Linked DNA regions of Diceros bicornis minor. The protein of the gene in region 2 interacts with the protein of the main gene of each other region in a biochemical or structural test. Links are inferred from orthologs where the notes say so. Each region holds a gene or a part of one and is shown on either strand. Other genes may lie near its edges.

Evidence for each region.
Region 1: the proteins of TLN1 (region 2) and ITGB1 form a complex in vitro, tested with the Homo sapiens proteins (3 studies listed by BioGRID and IntAct, with this or other methods). The link is inferred for Diceros bicornis minor from reciprocal best matches to the Homo sapiens genes TLN1 and ITGB1.

What each region holds. Positions count from the first base shown.
Region 1 is NC_080775.1:31,097,540-31,105,290, forward strand, and holds the start of ITGB1 (integrin beta-1), read right to left. Parts: upstream 3,033-7,751; 5' UTR 2,928-3,032; intron 1-2,927.
Region 2 is NC_080767.1:4,151,555-4,159,472, forward strand, and holds the start of TLN1 (talin-1), read right to left. Parts: upstream 3,015-7,918; 5' UTR 2,648-3,014; intron 1-2,647. Other genes in the region: CREB3 (cyclic AMP-responsive element-binding protein 3), read left to right, coding at 3,322-3,459, 3,564-3,711, 3,788-3,855, 3,970-4,059, 5,150-5,256, 5,389-5,457, 6,083-6,167, 6,265-6,349 and 1 more; GBA2 (non-lysosomal glucosylceramidase), read right to left, coding at 7,211-7,492, 7,765-7,918. UniProt on the Homo sapiens protein: High molecular weight cytoskeletal protein concentrated at regions of cell-matrix and cell-cell contacts. Involved in connections of major cytoskeletal structures to the plasma membrane.

The sequences.
Region 1 (7,751 bases), on a different chromosome or scaffold from region 2:
TTAGAAAAATAATCTTAATATAGAACTTGACATTCTTTTTATTTATTTATTTTTGTGTGTGTGTGAGGAAGATCAGCCCTGAGCTAACGTCCATGCTAATCCTCCTCTTTTTGCTGAGGAAGACCGGCTCTGAGCTAACACCTATTGCCAATCCTCCTCCGTTTTTTTTTTCCCCCAAAGCCCCAGGAGATAGTTGTACGTCATAGTTGCACACCCTTCTAGTTTCTGTATGTGGGACGTGGCCTCAGCATGGCCAGAGAAGCGGTGCGTCAGTGCGCGCCCGGGATCTGAACCTGGGCCGCCAGTAGTGGAGCTCGTGCACTTAACTGCTAAGCCATGGGGCTGGCCCCCAAACTTGACATTCTTTTTAAAAGAATCAACATCACAAAAACAAAAGTTTAGGTCTGTGAAGTCCACGCAGATGACTTAATGTGGAGTTTATCTGCTCTTTATTTACAGAAGTATTAACCACATCCCGTCTTTCTTTTTTTTTAATAACTTTTTAAGTGTAGCAAAATATACATAACATAAAACTCACCATCTTAACTGTTTTTAAGTGTACAATTCACCATATTAAATACATTCACACTGTTGTGCAACCATTACCACCAACCATCTACAGACTCTTCATCTTGCAAAACTGAGTCTGTACTCATTAAACAACAACTCCCACACTCCTTTTCGCCAGCCCCTGGCAACCACCCTTCTACTCCGTCTCTCTGAATCTGGCTTCTCTAGGTACCTCATAGAGGCGGAATCAGACAGTATTTGTCCTTTTGTGACGGGCTTATTTCACTCAGCATAATGTGCTTCCCCTTACTTTTCAAGAGCAGGAAAGTGGGAGCAATGGAGTTGGGCTTCTTTTTAAAAAGTCGTTTCTTGAAATGTTGTTGTCTTCTAATTCAACTAGAGCTCACCATCGCAGATAACAGCTTTGGACATTATGCTCATGCATCCCCTGTCTTTTTAACTGGCATTCTAATAACATCCATTTTATACTGAATTTTAGCATAAGTAAAATGGATTTGCCTCAAACGCCTGTAACCAAAATACTGATTTGTTTCATCTGTTTTCTAATTATCACTGCCTCGTCTTCAGTTACATAATACTGATCACAGAACCAAAATTATTTAAAAATATCACCGTTATTGGGACTCTTAAGTAAGTCCTGTCCCCTCTGGGCCTTGATGTCCACAAACGTAAAATAAATAACTTCCAACTAAAATTCCTTAATCATTTCTAAAAGTAGTCTATTATACAATCTATTGCAAAAGCTGTATTTAGTTTAAGAAAGACGCCAAATCAAAATTCACTTCACATTTATTTTCATACCATCAAAACAACAATAAAAAATAACAACCCAGTAATTCTACCACCTAAGTATCTACGTGGGATGCAGACCCCAAAAAACCTTACTAATGATGTTATCAATTACATGCTGAGATTTTTTTTAATCATTTAATATACTAAGAAGGAAGGAAAAGAGATCAATATTTATTGAGCTTCTACTCTAACCTAAGTGTTTTACATTTTACGTGTGATTTTTCACAACTATACTGTACTTACGGAAGATTACTTGTGGTTCAAACATGGTCTAGACAAGGTTTCTCCACCTACTAGCTGGATGACCACAGGCAAATGACTTATGCTCCCTTCGCCTCAGTTTCTTCATTTATAAAATGGGGATAAAAACGGCACCTACCTCACGGATCAGTTCCAGAATTAAACGACAAAATACATGTAAAAGTGCCTAGAGCTACACATGGCCCTCACTGTCGTTCTTATAATAATTAATTACTACTGTTATTAGTGTAGGTATTCTTGTTCCCATTTCAAAGATAAGGAAATGGAAGCTTAAAGAATGTAAATGACTAGTGATCATACCAACCAGTACTAGGTTTTGACTCAAAAGCACAAATTTGATCAAATAAAAATTACTTAGGCATTAAACACTGGTATTCTTAAAAATAGAACTTGTTTTTAGGAAGCATAAGAAATGACACATAGTAAGCCGGCATCAGAACCGGTCGGGCACTAAACCCTGCGGGGACGCCGGGAGGGCCGGCCGGGCCCTGCGCGCTCAGGGCGCCCGGCCCAGGACGCGGCTCCCTCCGGCCCCTGCGGGCGCCGGCCGCCCCGCCTGCCGAGGTATCCGGCACTCCAGTGCGGCTCTTTTAAATATTAAGCGGAAAAAAAAAAACCCCACCATATGCCAACGCTGCGCCCTCTTCTCCTAGCTGCTCTCCGACGCCCCCTCTTGTTCAGGTCCACCCCCCCTTCATCCCACGCCACAGGCGCTGAGAGCCAGCACCCAACTTCTGGAAGTGGGAAGGACGAACAATTTTCCTTATGTGGAAGCTAATGACTAAGCTCAACGTTGCTCAAAGAAAGAGCAGCCCGCGCCCGAGACGGAGACAAAGAGCAACTGTCAAGGATCGTTCCAAGTCCTGGGACGGCGCGTCCCGGGAGGCCCCGTCCGCGCCCGCACTGCGCGCCGCGGCGGCGGAGGGGACCCGGGCGCGCGGGGCGAGCTCCCTCTCCGGCGCCCAGGCCGCGCGTCCGGCACGGGGCGCTGTGAATGGCAGGCGTCTGAGCGGCCGGTCGGGGCCCCGGTCCTCGCACCCCGCGCCCCCGACGTGACAGCGCCCAGGCCGGCGACCCTCCCACTCGGACCGCGGGGGCCGGCTCTGCGCGCTCGGGCCGCCGGCGCGCGGGAGGGACGGAGGCGGCGGGGAGGGGGCCAAGGTCCGCGAGAGAAGCCTGGAGGGCGGGCGCCGGCCGGACTTCCCTTCCTGCCCGAAGGCTGGAATCCGCCTCCCCCACCCCGGCCGGACAGAGAGGTCCCGGCCTGGCCGCGGCGGGCGGCCCGAGGTCCGGCCGCGCACCCGGGCCCGGAGGCCGCCGCCCGCCCCGTGCCGGGCCCCTACCTTCTCCGGGCGGCGTCCGGGCCCCGGCCGGTCGGCTTGGGCCTGCTGCTCCGCGGCTCCCGCTCGGCCTCTCCCGAGGGCTGGCGCGGCCTCCCGGTCTCGGGCGCGGCGGGCGGCGGCGACCCCGCCTCCTCGGGGGCGGGAGGAGGAGACTCGGCCCCCGGAGCCGCCTCCCGCAGGAAACGACCCCCGCGGCACCGCCTCCTCGGCGCGGCCGAGCCTGCTCCTCGGGCCGCCGCCGCCGCCCTCTCCCTCCGGAAGCGCATTCCTCTCCGGCCGCGTCAGCCGCGCCCCAGGCGAGGAGGAGGCGCGGGCGGCGGAGGCGGCGGGAAGACCGAGGCCGGGACAAAGGAGCTGGCCCGGGGAGCCGCGCTGGGAGGGCGGGGCACGGGACCGGCGGAGGCCTTCGCCGTGCCTCAGTTTTCTTTTCTGCTAAGCGGGAGCGGGAGGTGTAAGGCCTCGGCGAGCGTTAATCGTATCCTCCCATAAGAGAAGGCCGGACGGGCCGTGGGCAACCCGGGGCGGGACTCTCCTTTTCCGCCTCTCTTAGGTTCTGCTTCCCCGAAGCCGCAGGTCTGTCTGTCCGACCCACCGTCCCGTTTGCCGGGGGGACTGTCCCGGGAGCCCCTTCAGTCCCAGGCAAATCGAGGCAGGGCTTCGTGGGGCCCGAAAATGTTTTCCTTTTGAAAGGGAATTAGCCAAAGCCAATACTGTTTTTCTGGAGTGATAGTTTGCTTGGCTTATGTGTATGAGGAAGGTGAAGACTTAGGAAGGAGATGGGTGCCAACAAAGATGGAGACGAAGAATATTTTAGAGAATAACTGGTGAGTTGGGGAGTTGCTTTTGTTACATTAATCTGGAGGTCCATTTATGGGGAACAGGCATGTGAAGGAAAAGTTTCATCCTTAAGAATACAGTTTCTTTTGATTTTCACTTTTTTTAGTAGGTGGAGATGGGGGCTGGAGAAGGAACATTTAAAAGAGAAGGGAAACATTCATTACGAGAATGGCTGGGCACATTTTGATAAGAGAATTGAAACCTGTGCCAACATCATACTGAAACCCAGTAATTCAGAATATGCTGTTGACAAGCTGCCATTCTGTTAGAAAATGTGAGTTGCCAGCTGGTGAGCTGCAGCACCCCGTGGGGAATAGAGCTCAAATTATGAGATTTGTGAAACTGAGAAGTAGTGTTTCACTTGGGGGAGATTAGAAGCTGGGATGCCCATTTGATTGCCAATCTTAAATAAGAGAAAATAAAATAATACCATCTATGGAAAATTTGCACATTGCTCACCAGCAAAAGCAAATCTGTTGACTAGATAATCTCTGAAAACCTCTAAAGAAGTTAGCATGATCTTTCCCACTTAATGGTTGACCAAGGTTAAGAGGCTGAATGATGTTTCTATATTAGTAACCCAATTGTAAAGCTGCCACTAGACCTCAACATTCTTGAATTTAAAGGTGTTGGTTATACCACTATTCCAAATGAATCAGAATTGGCTGAGGCTCAGCATAGGAAATTATAGTTCTAAAGATAAAGTGGAATTGATTGATGCTTGATTTGCACTACATTTCCCAGAATTTTCTTCCCTGTATATGATTTGAGGAGGCGATCTTTGCCACAAGAACATTATGAGTTTTACGTTTGCACAACCCTAAACTAAATTAGTTCAAGGGCAGTTTAATTATCTTTTTAATCCCAGGGTCAAACACTGTTCCAGGACACATAATGGGGGCTCAGCTAATGTTTGATAAATGAATAAATGGGTCCTTTTGCTACCCTGGGACCAGGCCAGAGCATTTGGCTAAACTGAAGTGTGAGTAACAATTTATGTATGAGAGTCATGAGCTTTGAGGAAAAGAGAAATTAAAGAAACATGTTCTTTAAGATAAGCAGTGATTGGTCAGGAGTATGACTCTACTTGTAATTTCATATAAATATTAACCGATGGACAGTTAGCTAACTATAAAATTTTTGAACACTCCAAACAAGGGTTGGTCAGTCACCATGCGCAACAGGAAATCCTGGTAAGTAAGAATAGTGGGAGTCACATTGCTTAACCACATCATGATAGAACATCTAATAGTATTTTGAATTTAAGACAAATCATACTTTACCTACACTGTCTCCCAATTATTATAAATTGTCTTCTGACATCTCGTCATAACTCATTATGTCAAATAATTAAAAGTTGGCCTTTCCTTTAGTTTTGGCGCCATACTACCATATACTCTTCAAAATGTCTTTATTCACCTACTGTTTTCCGAAGTAAAGTTTCAAAGTTGTTCACCAGCAAAGACTTGATTGGATGCCCAAGTTCATTTTAATCATTAATAATTACAAATTACAGATAATAATTACAAATATTTCTATTTTTAATTAAAGGATAGGCTTACATAAATGAAAGGAACCATTAATATTAAGTCAGGTACAAAAGAGCCTAAAGGCTTCTCTAGAAACCTGATTATCTCTTTCAAACATCACAGTTTGATTACTGCCCTTCAGATCTAGTAGGTTGTATTTAATCACCTGATTATGGAATATGGGATTGGGAGGGAGAGTGAGTGGAGAGCTGTCTTTTTCTTGTAGTTTGAGCACTCTTGGGACTTAGCCTTTCAAATATGACTCCATCCAGTAAATCACAAATCATCCTATGCTAACTTGAATGCTTTTCAGTCTTTCAGAGTGGAAACAACCCTAACCAGTGTAAACTTTTGTGGGCAGGTAGCTCAGTACACATTCCTTTATAAATCATTTACCACATGCAACAGTCATCAGAGGGCAAGACCTCATGGGGTTTGAACAAAGGATGAATACCTGCATTGTGAGAATAGTATACCCAAGACCAAATATTTTTTGGTATTGGCCATTGACTGACACATTGTGGCACAATCCATACCAGATCATTTTTAAGTAAGCAGGGTGACTTTGTGTCCCGGTATGCCCAAGATAGCCCCAGTTTGTCTGTTGTCCAAGCATAATTATCAATAGCACCCCTTTTCAGTCTCAAAAGTACATCCTGATATGGTTAATAGATTATATGGTCAGTCACCCTATAAATAAGAGTGTCCAGACAATGAATAATGAGAAGAGTAGTTTTAGAAATTCAAAGGGGATACACAGGGACACTGCAAATCAGGCTCCAGGTTGATAGGTGAAGACTAATTCTAACATTGATGATAAGGAAAAAAATTGTGTGGGGCAGGAGTGTGCTGAATTAGGCAGTTCCTATGTGATGAAAATGCCCTACTAGGAGATTTAATTAAGGAAAATCCTTGGAAGTAGCCTGGCTAATCAACAAGACTTGGGTTTTAAATACCATTTAAATATCTGTGATGGCTTCTGGAGCAGACTGATTGACAGTGGCTAGTGAGTCTTCAGCCTCTTTTCTAAGAACTGTTTCTACAGAGTGACCTAGATATATTTTTCTCATCTGCCACCTCCGGATGCTTAGAATTTAACTCCTTTAAACATTAAAAAAAGAAAAAGACAGCGGATGGGGATAGAAGGAATAGAAGTCTCTGATAATGCCCTCTAATACTAACGTGGAGGTGCTTCTGAATCATAAATAACTCCATTCCTTTTTCTGAGAAACTAAACTCCCTCTATTAAAATGTGAATCTGTGTGCTTTGGTAAAAAAAGCAGCCCTGGGAATTACTGGCATTTTGAAAAACAAGAAATGGTAAGACAGTCCTTCTAGTTCCTCCTTTTTCTGTCTCCAAATATATAAATAATATGCAAATAATCATATAGTGTAGAAAAACTGGAAGTTTATTTATTTTGCAACTTTTTGTTTTGGCTTGATGGCTTCAATTTAGAGAGCACTCCTCAATGCCCTGCCATAATTTCCAGAGGACCCATGAAAAATTCAGTTTGCTGCAAGGCAGCCACCCACCTTGTACATATGGCAGGTGTCTGTATTTGACTAGCCTGTCCTGAGGCTTTAGTTAGTGCTTTATTCCTTTGCTTATTTAAAAGTAAGGTGGCAAATGTCAGAACAGTCTGGCCTGATTTGCAATGTGTCCCTTATAGTTTAGGCTAGCCATTAAGTCTTTTCCTTTTCTAGATAGTTAACAGTTGCTAGATTATGGCTTTGAATATGGGTCACGTCTGAGCAAAGCTGCCTCAACCGGTTCTGCTTCCTGATATAGCATCCCCGCTTTTGGTCCTGCTCAGTCCGTGGAGTATTGCCTCCACTGGGTGGGAGCATTCCCTGCCAGCATTCAGATGCTGAACATTTTTAAGAGCCCAGAGGAAACAGTGTTTTTAGGCAGCTCTTTTCAGACACTGGGTTTCTTCAGCTGGAGAAGGGAATGTGCCTTCCCAAATAAGAATGAAGAATATGCCAAATATAAGCAGTTGAATAGCACTGGAGTTATTTTTAGGAACCAGGGTCACTCAATAGAGGAAATGATGGTGCTACCAACAAGTTATGGCTAGTGACTATAAAACAACATTCTTTGTTTCCTCATTTAACTCCTTTTAAGAATATTTGGCAATTTGAATTAAGAGCAGCCTGATTTGAGGCCTGATTCATTAGGGAGTCGGAAGTCTAGGTCAGTTAAAAGATACGTTTGTTTGGTAAGTAAAAGCACCCTATTTCCCCAAATTAATCCCCATAATGTTATCTAAGATTGAGTTCTTGCTGTGTACCAATATATGGGAAACCGTGTGTCTATGAACCCCCTAAAATTTGTAGACAAAATTTCATTTATACATATAGATCTGCATTTCTGCAGATATTTCTGGTTTAAATGGTATCTTAACCCCAAAACATTAAGAATCACTATTTTAAGCTCAGATATAATCAGTTCCTTTTA
Region 2 (7,918 bases):
TAAGATGAGGATGGAAAGGCTGGTGAGAACTAGGGAGAGTATGAGGAATGATACCTACTAGGGGGCAACAGGAGGCCAAGGGAGGCTTTCAGCAGAGACGGGACATAACCAGAACCAGATTTTAGGAAAATAACTCTGGCAGTTACCTTGGAGATTAGTTAGAAGGATACTGCATTAGCAGAAGTGAGGGGTAATGAAGCCAGAGTTAGAAGGGTGGAGAGGATGTCACTCATCAGAAATTTTAAGAGGTAGAACTGATAGGAACTGATGACAGTCTGTCCTGTCAACCCTCAGGGACCAGGGCCCAAAGTCAGGCTGGGGTCCCATAGCTTCTTGTCATCAGCAGTCACTCAGTGGCTGGGCAGCTTGAGTTTAGGTCAGGAATTGGGAAGGGGGGAAAGAAAGTATAAGGACAAGCTGGGAATGTGAAGATGAGGCTGTGGTTAGGAGATGTGGTTAGGCTGAGGGAAAAAGGGATGGGGATGTGGTTAGTACCAGGTAGAGGGGCAGAAGGGATGAGGTCAGTGACTGCATTGGGCTGGAAATGGGGAAGATGAGGTGTAGAGAAAGGCTGGGGAAGATGGTAGGAAAAATACATATATGATCAGTCACTAGATCAGGCTGGGGGAAACGGAAGAATAATTATGTGGACAGTGGCTAAGTCAGGGAATGATGCAGTGAGGTCAGAAGCCAGGTCAGGCTACGAGACTGAGAAGAGAGGGAGCTGTGGTCAGTGGCTAAATTAGGATGGGATGGGCAAAGAGTGAAGGGACACCAGCAGTGTCTAAGTAAAGCTGGAGTTGGGGGTGGTGCATGGGGTGCAGCCAGTGGCTGGGTCAGGCTCGGTAGGGGATAGTGCTGTGGTCAGTGGCAGGGTCAGGCTGGGAGTGAAATGGGGGTGTGGTCAGTGGCCTGGCTGGGCGTGGGATCAGCAAGACCCAGTTTCCTCTTTGGGTCTCATTTCCTCTTTTCTGTCAGGGGAGTGGGGGAAGGGGATCTACAAGTGGACCAAGAAATTAAGGCTTAGAATCAGGGATGGAACACAGCAGGCATCGGAAGTACTTGGCAGTTGTGTTGGGCTGGGGCTGGAGTATTCAGCAGATGATCAGGAGGTATTCAGGTAGATGAGCGGGTGAAAATGGTGGGAGAGTGCTTTAAGATGATGGGAAAGCTCAGAGTTGGGCGACAGTAAATTAAGGTAGGATGTGTGCGGATTAAGGGGTGGGAAGAGAGGCAAAACTGAGGCTGGGAACACATGGCAAAATGAAGAACATGAGAGAGTTAAAGACAAGGGAAGCATTCTGTAAGGGGGTATGCAAGAAGGGTGTGAAATGCAGGGCCAGGGAGGAGAGCTGGAGTGGAGAGCTTAACATTGAGAGAATGAGGAGAATGGGAAGCAATGGGGCTGAACTTTCAGAGGATCAGTCATCCCCCGCTCCTGTGGCAACAGTGTTTTCTTGGTCTGCTTCCCCCTTAGTCACCAGTCCCCTTTCCTCTAGGCAGTCCCCTACTCAGGACTAGGCCTTACACATCTCCTGGGTCCCTGTCCCTTTCCCACCTCCTATCTTGTAAACAACATAGTCCACGAACCTCTGCCCCTCAACTGTTGTGGCCACAGCAAGAGCCTTGGGCTTAGAGAGTAGAATAAAGCAGCTGGAGTCCCAGATGCCTGCAATTCTAGCTGAAACCCAGAACCCTAGCCTGAAAATAGTCTGTCATTTCTCTGGGCCAAAGAAGCCCCTGCGACTACACAGAAATGAGAGACCTCCTCGCAAAACAGGGCCTCTACCTACCACTAATCTTAAATTTCACGTGTCCGAGATCCACTATCCTGACCTCAACCACAACCCCTAAAACTGCCCCTAATTCCTAACACTAACCCCAACCCTAATGTGTTTCCTGTTTCCCAGTACTGGCTTTGACATTCACCCCTTTCCTAGCAGACACCTGTATCCAATCCCTGATTTCTAATATTTACCTTTAAATGGTGCTAAAAAGCACCAAAGCCCCTGACCTTAACCCTAAATGTTGACCCCTAGGTCTAAAGCTCATTTGCCACTTGATTCCTGACCCACCTCTTCACTTTTTATCCCTAATACTGACTATGCCAACGTTCTCTTATCCCTAAAACTAGACTTCCAACCTAATTCCTGTTATTGACCTCTAACCTGACCCTGAACCGTAACTTTGACTTATCTTGGCCACCCTAAAAAACAAAATAATGACCGTAATCCAAACTTCACCTACATAAAACGGACCTGACTCACACTAATAACACTAAATTTTAACCCCGGCTTCATACCTCCTAAAACTAACCTTGAGTCCTAAACCGAACTCCACCTAATCCCAAACTCACCCAAAGCTTTCCTATCCACATACCCGCTGATCCTCAAAGCCGATCCCCGCCCTGCGCCTCACTACCACCCCACTCCTCGCCCTCCCCAAAACCTATCCCAGGCCGAGGACTGCTCCCAGGAGGGGGCTGGCTCCCGCAAAACGGCCTACTTAACTCCGAGCCCAAACCGAGATACACTGGCCGCTGACCTCTCCAACAGGACCCGCAGGAGGAGACGCAGGAGGGTCGGGGCCCCGCCCGCCCGCCTCCCGGCCCCATCCTGAGGTTCCGGCTGGGCCCAGTCCGGCCTACCTGCGCTGCCCGGCTCTGTGCCCCGCCCGCCGGCCCGCTACCGGGCTCGCTCGTCCTCCCGGTGGCTCTCGGGCTCCGGCCTCGCCCTCCCTTCGACACTCCGGCGGCCACTTCCGTCCCCGGAGCGTCCCCCACCCGCGGGCGGCGCCCTGTGCCCGCGCTCTATGGTTTCGGGGACTGAAGGAAGCTGCTCTGGCCCCAGCTCTCGATGCTCGGGAACCCTCCGAAGACCCGCAGGCCCTCCCTGGCAGGAAGCAAGGCTGCGGCGCGATCCGGAGAAGACGCCCCAGTTCCCTTTTAGGCTCGAATCCTTCCTTTTTCTAGCTTGGGGCGAAGGCGGAGCCGCATCCCAGAATGCCCGCCCTCAGGCTGTGAGGAAGCAGCAGAATGCCCGCCCCCTCGATTTGCATGGCTCCCGGGACGTGGCGCCACTTCCGCACTAGGGGAACTCCGTGTCCCAGAATGCCTTGGGGGCATGGGCGTCACTTCCGTTGTGTTGGAAGCCGGGGAGACTTGAGTTCAGGAGGCGTGTCCCCTTTGAGAGCGTCGGCTAGCAGCTCCGGGGCAAGCCCGGTTGAAGACGGACTGACGTTAGGGGAGTGTCTTGCATGGGGTTCGGGGTTGGGGCCAGGTGGAGGGGCGAACCCCTGTGTTTCTACGCATCCTTTCCGTAGATGTCCCATATGGAGCTGCCGTCGGACCCGGGTGACCAAGACCTGCTGGACTTCCTGCTAGAGGAAAGCGGAGATTTGGGGGCGGCGATCCACGAGGCCGTGGAGGCTCCGCTAGACTGGGAGCTGCCGCTTTCTGAGGTGGGTACGGGCTCCGAGTCGGGGAGGCGCGGGGCGGGGAGGGGGGCGTCCTTGAGGCAGGGGGTGGTGATAGGTCAAGGCCTGTTAATTTGAACCCTGTGCAGGTACTGAGGGATTGGGAGGCCGAGGATTTCCTGAGCTCTCTGCTGAGTCCCCCAGCGTCGTTGAACGTTCTCAACTCTTCTAACTCCTGTCCTGTCCACCATGATCACACCTACTCTGTACCACAGGAACATATTTCCATAGATCTAGGTGAGTCTGAAGTAAGAGAAGTTTTGGGAGAGGAGAGGACTGATGGGCTTGGCTATTCATATTTTCTCTTTTGCAGATAGCGGGAGCTATGGAAAAGAGGGGGCCCAGATGACTCCATTGCATGTAGAGGAGCCAGCAGAGCAGGTACTTGATTTGATTTACGGAGGAATATTCCCACATTGCATGGGTGGAGGTAGGATTCCCCATTCCTCTCTGATATTGCCTTGCAACTTTGCTGCCACCTCCCTGGAACCCCAGGAGATTGCTAGGCTGATACTGACAGATGAGGAGAAGAGGCTGTTGGAGAAGGAGGGGCTTACTCTGCCTGGGACACTTCCTCTCACTAAGGTAAGACTCCCATTGGTGGAGCAAGGCAGCAAAGGAAGTTGAGCCCCAAGTAGGCCAATTCTGTTAATTTTATATCAGTAACTTGAAAAAGGACTGAGGTGAGAAATTTAGCAAATTCCCTGCTAATAGGAAGCTGGTGCATGTAGTTAATATGCTGGATGCAAGAGCTGCTCCTGGTTTTGTGGGGCTTATAAAAATTTTGGTGTTTTCTTTAAGAAAAAAGAATTCCACATTATCAGTGCAACATTAGTATAGGGCATTGGAAAGGACTGTGCAAGTGAGGGGCCCTGACACATTTCACTGGCTTCGTGGTAATCCACCTCTTGTTGAATGGTAGAATTAAGTTTTAGAGAGTTTATCAAGGCTGGACCAAGCAATATAACAGGAATAAATGTAAAATTCTGAGCTTTAAGTTTCAAGCAACAAATGGCAACTTCACAAGCACAATATTGTGACACTGTGATGAAATCGACATTCACTGACAGAAAGGTTAAGAGAATTTTAATTTCTTAAAAGTACAAGATGAGTCAGCAATGTGATATGGCTACTAAGAAAGTGAATGGGGTTTGGAGGCTGTAATCAATAGAGGTGTTGCCTCTAGAAGGGCAGTGACTATCTCTCTTCTTTATACTGGCCAGAGCACATCTGAGTGTTTAGTTTTGAACCCAGATCTTTGACAGATATTAAACGGATGCAGTCCATACTGATAAGATGACGAGTTAAAAATTTTGCCCAGATTTTTTTTGACTCTGAAGAAATGTCAAGCGCCTTAAAATAGCTCAAGATCATTTGTTCTATATGGCCCCAGAGATTAGGTACTAGGTAAGTCCAAAGGCTAGAAATTAGAGAGGCAGATGTTGGCTCAGGATAAGGAAGGTTTTTTTTTTTTTTAATTAAAATTATTAAAAGGGTCCGGCCTATGAGGGCATTAACACCTGGTCCTTGGAGGCATTCAGACAGAAGCCAAGTGCCTGTTTGTCAGAGAAGCTGTAGAAGGGATTCCTGCACTGGGAAGAAGATTGAACTCAGTTGCATTCCAACTCTTTGGTCCAGTGTTCCTCTGATGATAACTTTTCCTGCCTTCTCTCAGATGGAAGAACAAGTTCTGAAACGAGTACGGAGGAAGATTCGAAACAAAAAGTCTGCTCAGGAGAGCCGCAGGAAGAAGAAGGTGTATGTGGGGGGTTTAGAGAACAGGTATAAACGGGAGAGGGACTCGGTGGTGGGGTATTGGAATTGGAGTTCCAATACCTTCCAAAAGTATTGCAAGTGTTAGGTTTTTGAAGGGAGGATACAGGCCACATCCCCACATCCCTGTTATTCCCCTAGGGTCTTGAAATACACAGCCCAGAATCTGGAGCTACAGAACAGAGTACAGCTCCTGGAGGAACAGAATCTGTAAGCAGCTCTGCAACATCAGTCCCTTCTCATCCCTCCTATTTGGCGCTGTCTCACTTTTTCCTTTGCTCCACACTTGATTTCTAACTGGGCAGCTCCCACATGCAAGGTCTGGTGGTTGGCCCTTACTGGGTCTCTAATTCCAAGCAGCTCACAGTAATGGCGAGTAAATTCACAAGTAACTAATGATAAGTACCAAGAAAGAGAGAGGAGAAAGAGTAAGAAAGACCTCATGGGGCAGATGGTATTTAATAGCAGATAGGATTCTTGTGGGGGTGTTGAGAGTATTCTAGGTAGAGACCACAGCATAGTCCAGTCTGACTGGAACTCTTTAACATGAGTGGAGTCAGAAGGAAGAGAACATAGAATGCCTGGTGAGAATTATGTGCATAGCTGATGGGGCAGTGTAGGAAGTACTGAAGGTATGTGCAAAAGAGTTTTAAGTCACGCCAGAGCAGAGGGATATTTTAATGAGGAACTTCAGGCATTTTGTCCACAGAGAGAAGTCATTTGCAAAAAGTAAGAGAGGATCCAGTGCACAGACGGAGGGAGTGGCCTTAACAGGAGGGTTTCACTGTATCTCAGGGTGCCAGGCCAGGGGCTGCTCACTGCCCTCTTCCCCTAGGTCTCTTCTGGATCAGCTGAGGAGACTCCAGGCCATGATGATTCAGATATCAAACAAAACCAGCAGCAGCAGCACCTGTGTTCTGGTGAGGATGCTGATGGAAGGAGAGATCCTCTTCTCAGGCAGCAGGGACAGGGATGCAATCAAGAGCCCTTCATCACCTCCTGTTTCCTGTACTCCAGGTCCTACTGTTCTCCTTCTGTCTCCTCCTCGTACCTGCTATGTACTCTTCTGACACAAGGGGGAGCCTGCCAGCTGAGCGTGGAGGTGAGAGGCTTGAGGATACCATTAAGGGCGGGCTAGGGGAGAAGCCTGGCTTGCCTCTAAAGAGTCTTTGTCTTCTCAGTGTTGTCCCGCCAGCTTCGTGCCCTCCCCAGTGAGGACCCTCACCAGCTGGAGCCGCCTGCCCTGCAGTCAGAGGCACCAAAGGACAGCTCAGACCACGTGCTCCAAGCTCCTGGCAACTCTTGCTGCCTGTTCTACCACGTGCTTCAGGCTCTTGGCGCAGAGCCTCCCCTGAAGTTGCCACTCCCTGACCCCTTCTCAAAGTCCCCCTGTCCAGGTCCTATCTTTCCTCTGCACACAAATCGCACGGGAGGGGGGATGACTTCCTACTCACAGCCCCACACCTGTCATCTTGCAGGGCCCATACTTAGGCTAGATGTGAGGATGTGGGGGACCTCAGCAAGAGCCTGGGGCCCCCAGTCTGTGTCCAAATAAAAAGGAGTGGGAGAGGGCTAGCCTCAGCTCCTGTGCCCTGTCAGGAAGCCTGAGGGCTCAAACACACCACACTTAACTGGCTTTCTGGGTCTTTTATTTGTACCCATGTATGTCTATCACTCCACGAATGGGCCTGGGGGAATCAACTGACCTCCTTGAACATTTCATGCAGTGAGCGAAAGGAGTGAGGAAAGAAATAAATAAGTGATTCTGATGCCTGGGTCAACCTCAACCCCTCTTTACTGGCGCAGTTGGGTGGGGAGAAGGGAAAGGGATATGATTGTCCTGGTGGCTCAGGGATGCAGGAGACTGGGGAGGGTGCGGGTGGGGGGTGGGGGGCCAGGGGCCAGAGGGAAGGCCAGGTTGGAGAATGGACTGTTAGTGCCTCCCTCCCACAGTTCAGAGAGCTCACTCTAGGCTCAGGTTTGCCATGGCTTCCTTTGGTCCAAATTTAGGCCCTGTGCTTAGTCCTGTACCCTGTTCGGCTTTTGGCCTTGAGGCTTTTTTATGCTGCTGCTGCTGCTGCAGGGCCAGCTGCATGGCCCAGATGCTCAATGGCCGCATGTAGGCCAGCGAGCGGTACACCTGCTGCTGGCAGTATGCCTCAGGAGTTTGGAAGGCCAGGCCCAGGCGCTCCCAGACGGTACGGTAGCAGCCTTCCGCTGTCCGGAAGCCCTCCCAAGTCAGGCCCTGTAGGGAGAGATGGCAGTCATATTACTTGACAACCCCTGACCTCAGGTCAGCTGGAGAGATGGAGACAATAGGATCTCTGCCCTCGGGGAGCTCCTAGCTAGTACAGGGAGAATCCTGAAGGCAGGAGATGGAATGCCGGCCAGGGAAAAGGCCGAGGCTTTCTAGATGGATCAGATGGGATGGGTTAGGCCGTACAGAAGTGTGACAGCTGAGGAAGTTTGCTGGGCCAAGGTATAGATGGTGGAGAGATGGGGAAGGGAGCACATTACCTCCTGGATCATGGTGGCTGCCAGTCCATAGACCACACCCACCCAGACTTCATCAGACTGGACACTGGTTCTATCAGGGACACCATGGGGCTGCATCCCATTCACAGCCCCCATGGCCCCTCCTGCAAAGGCCTGGACATTGAGCTCGAAGATA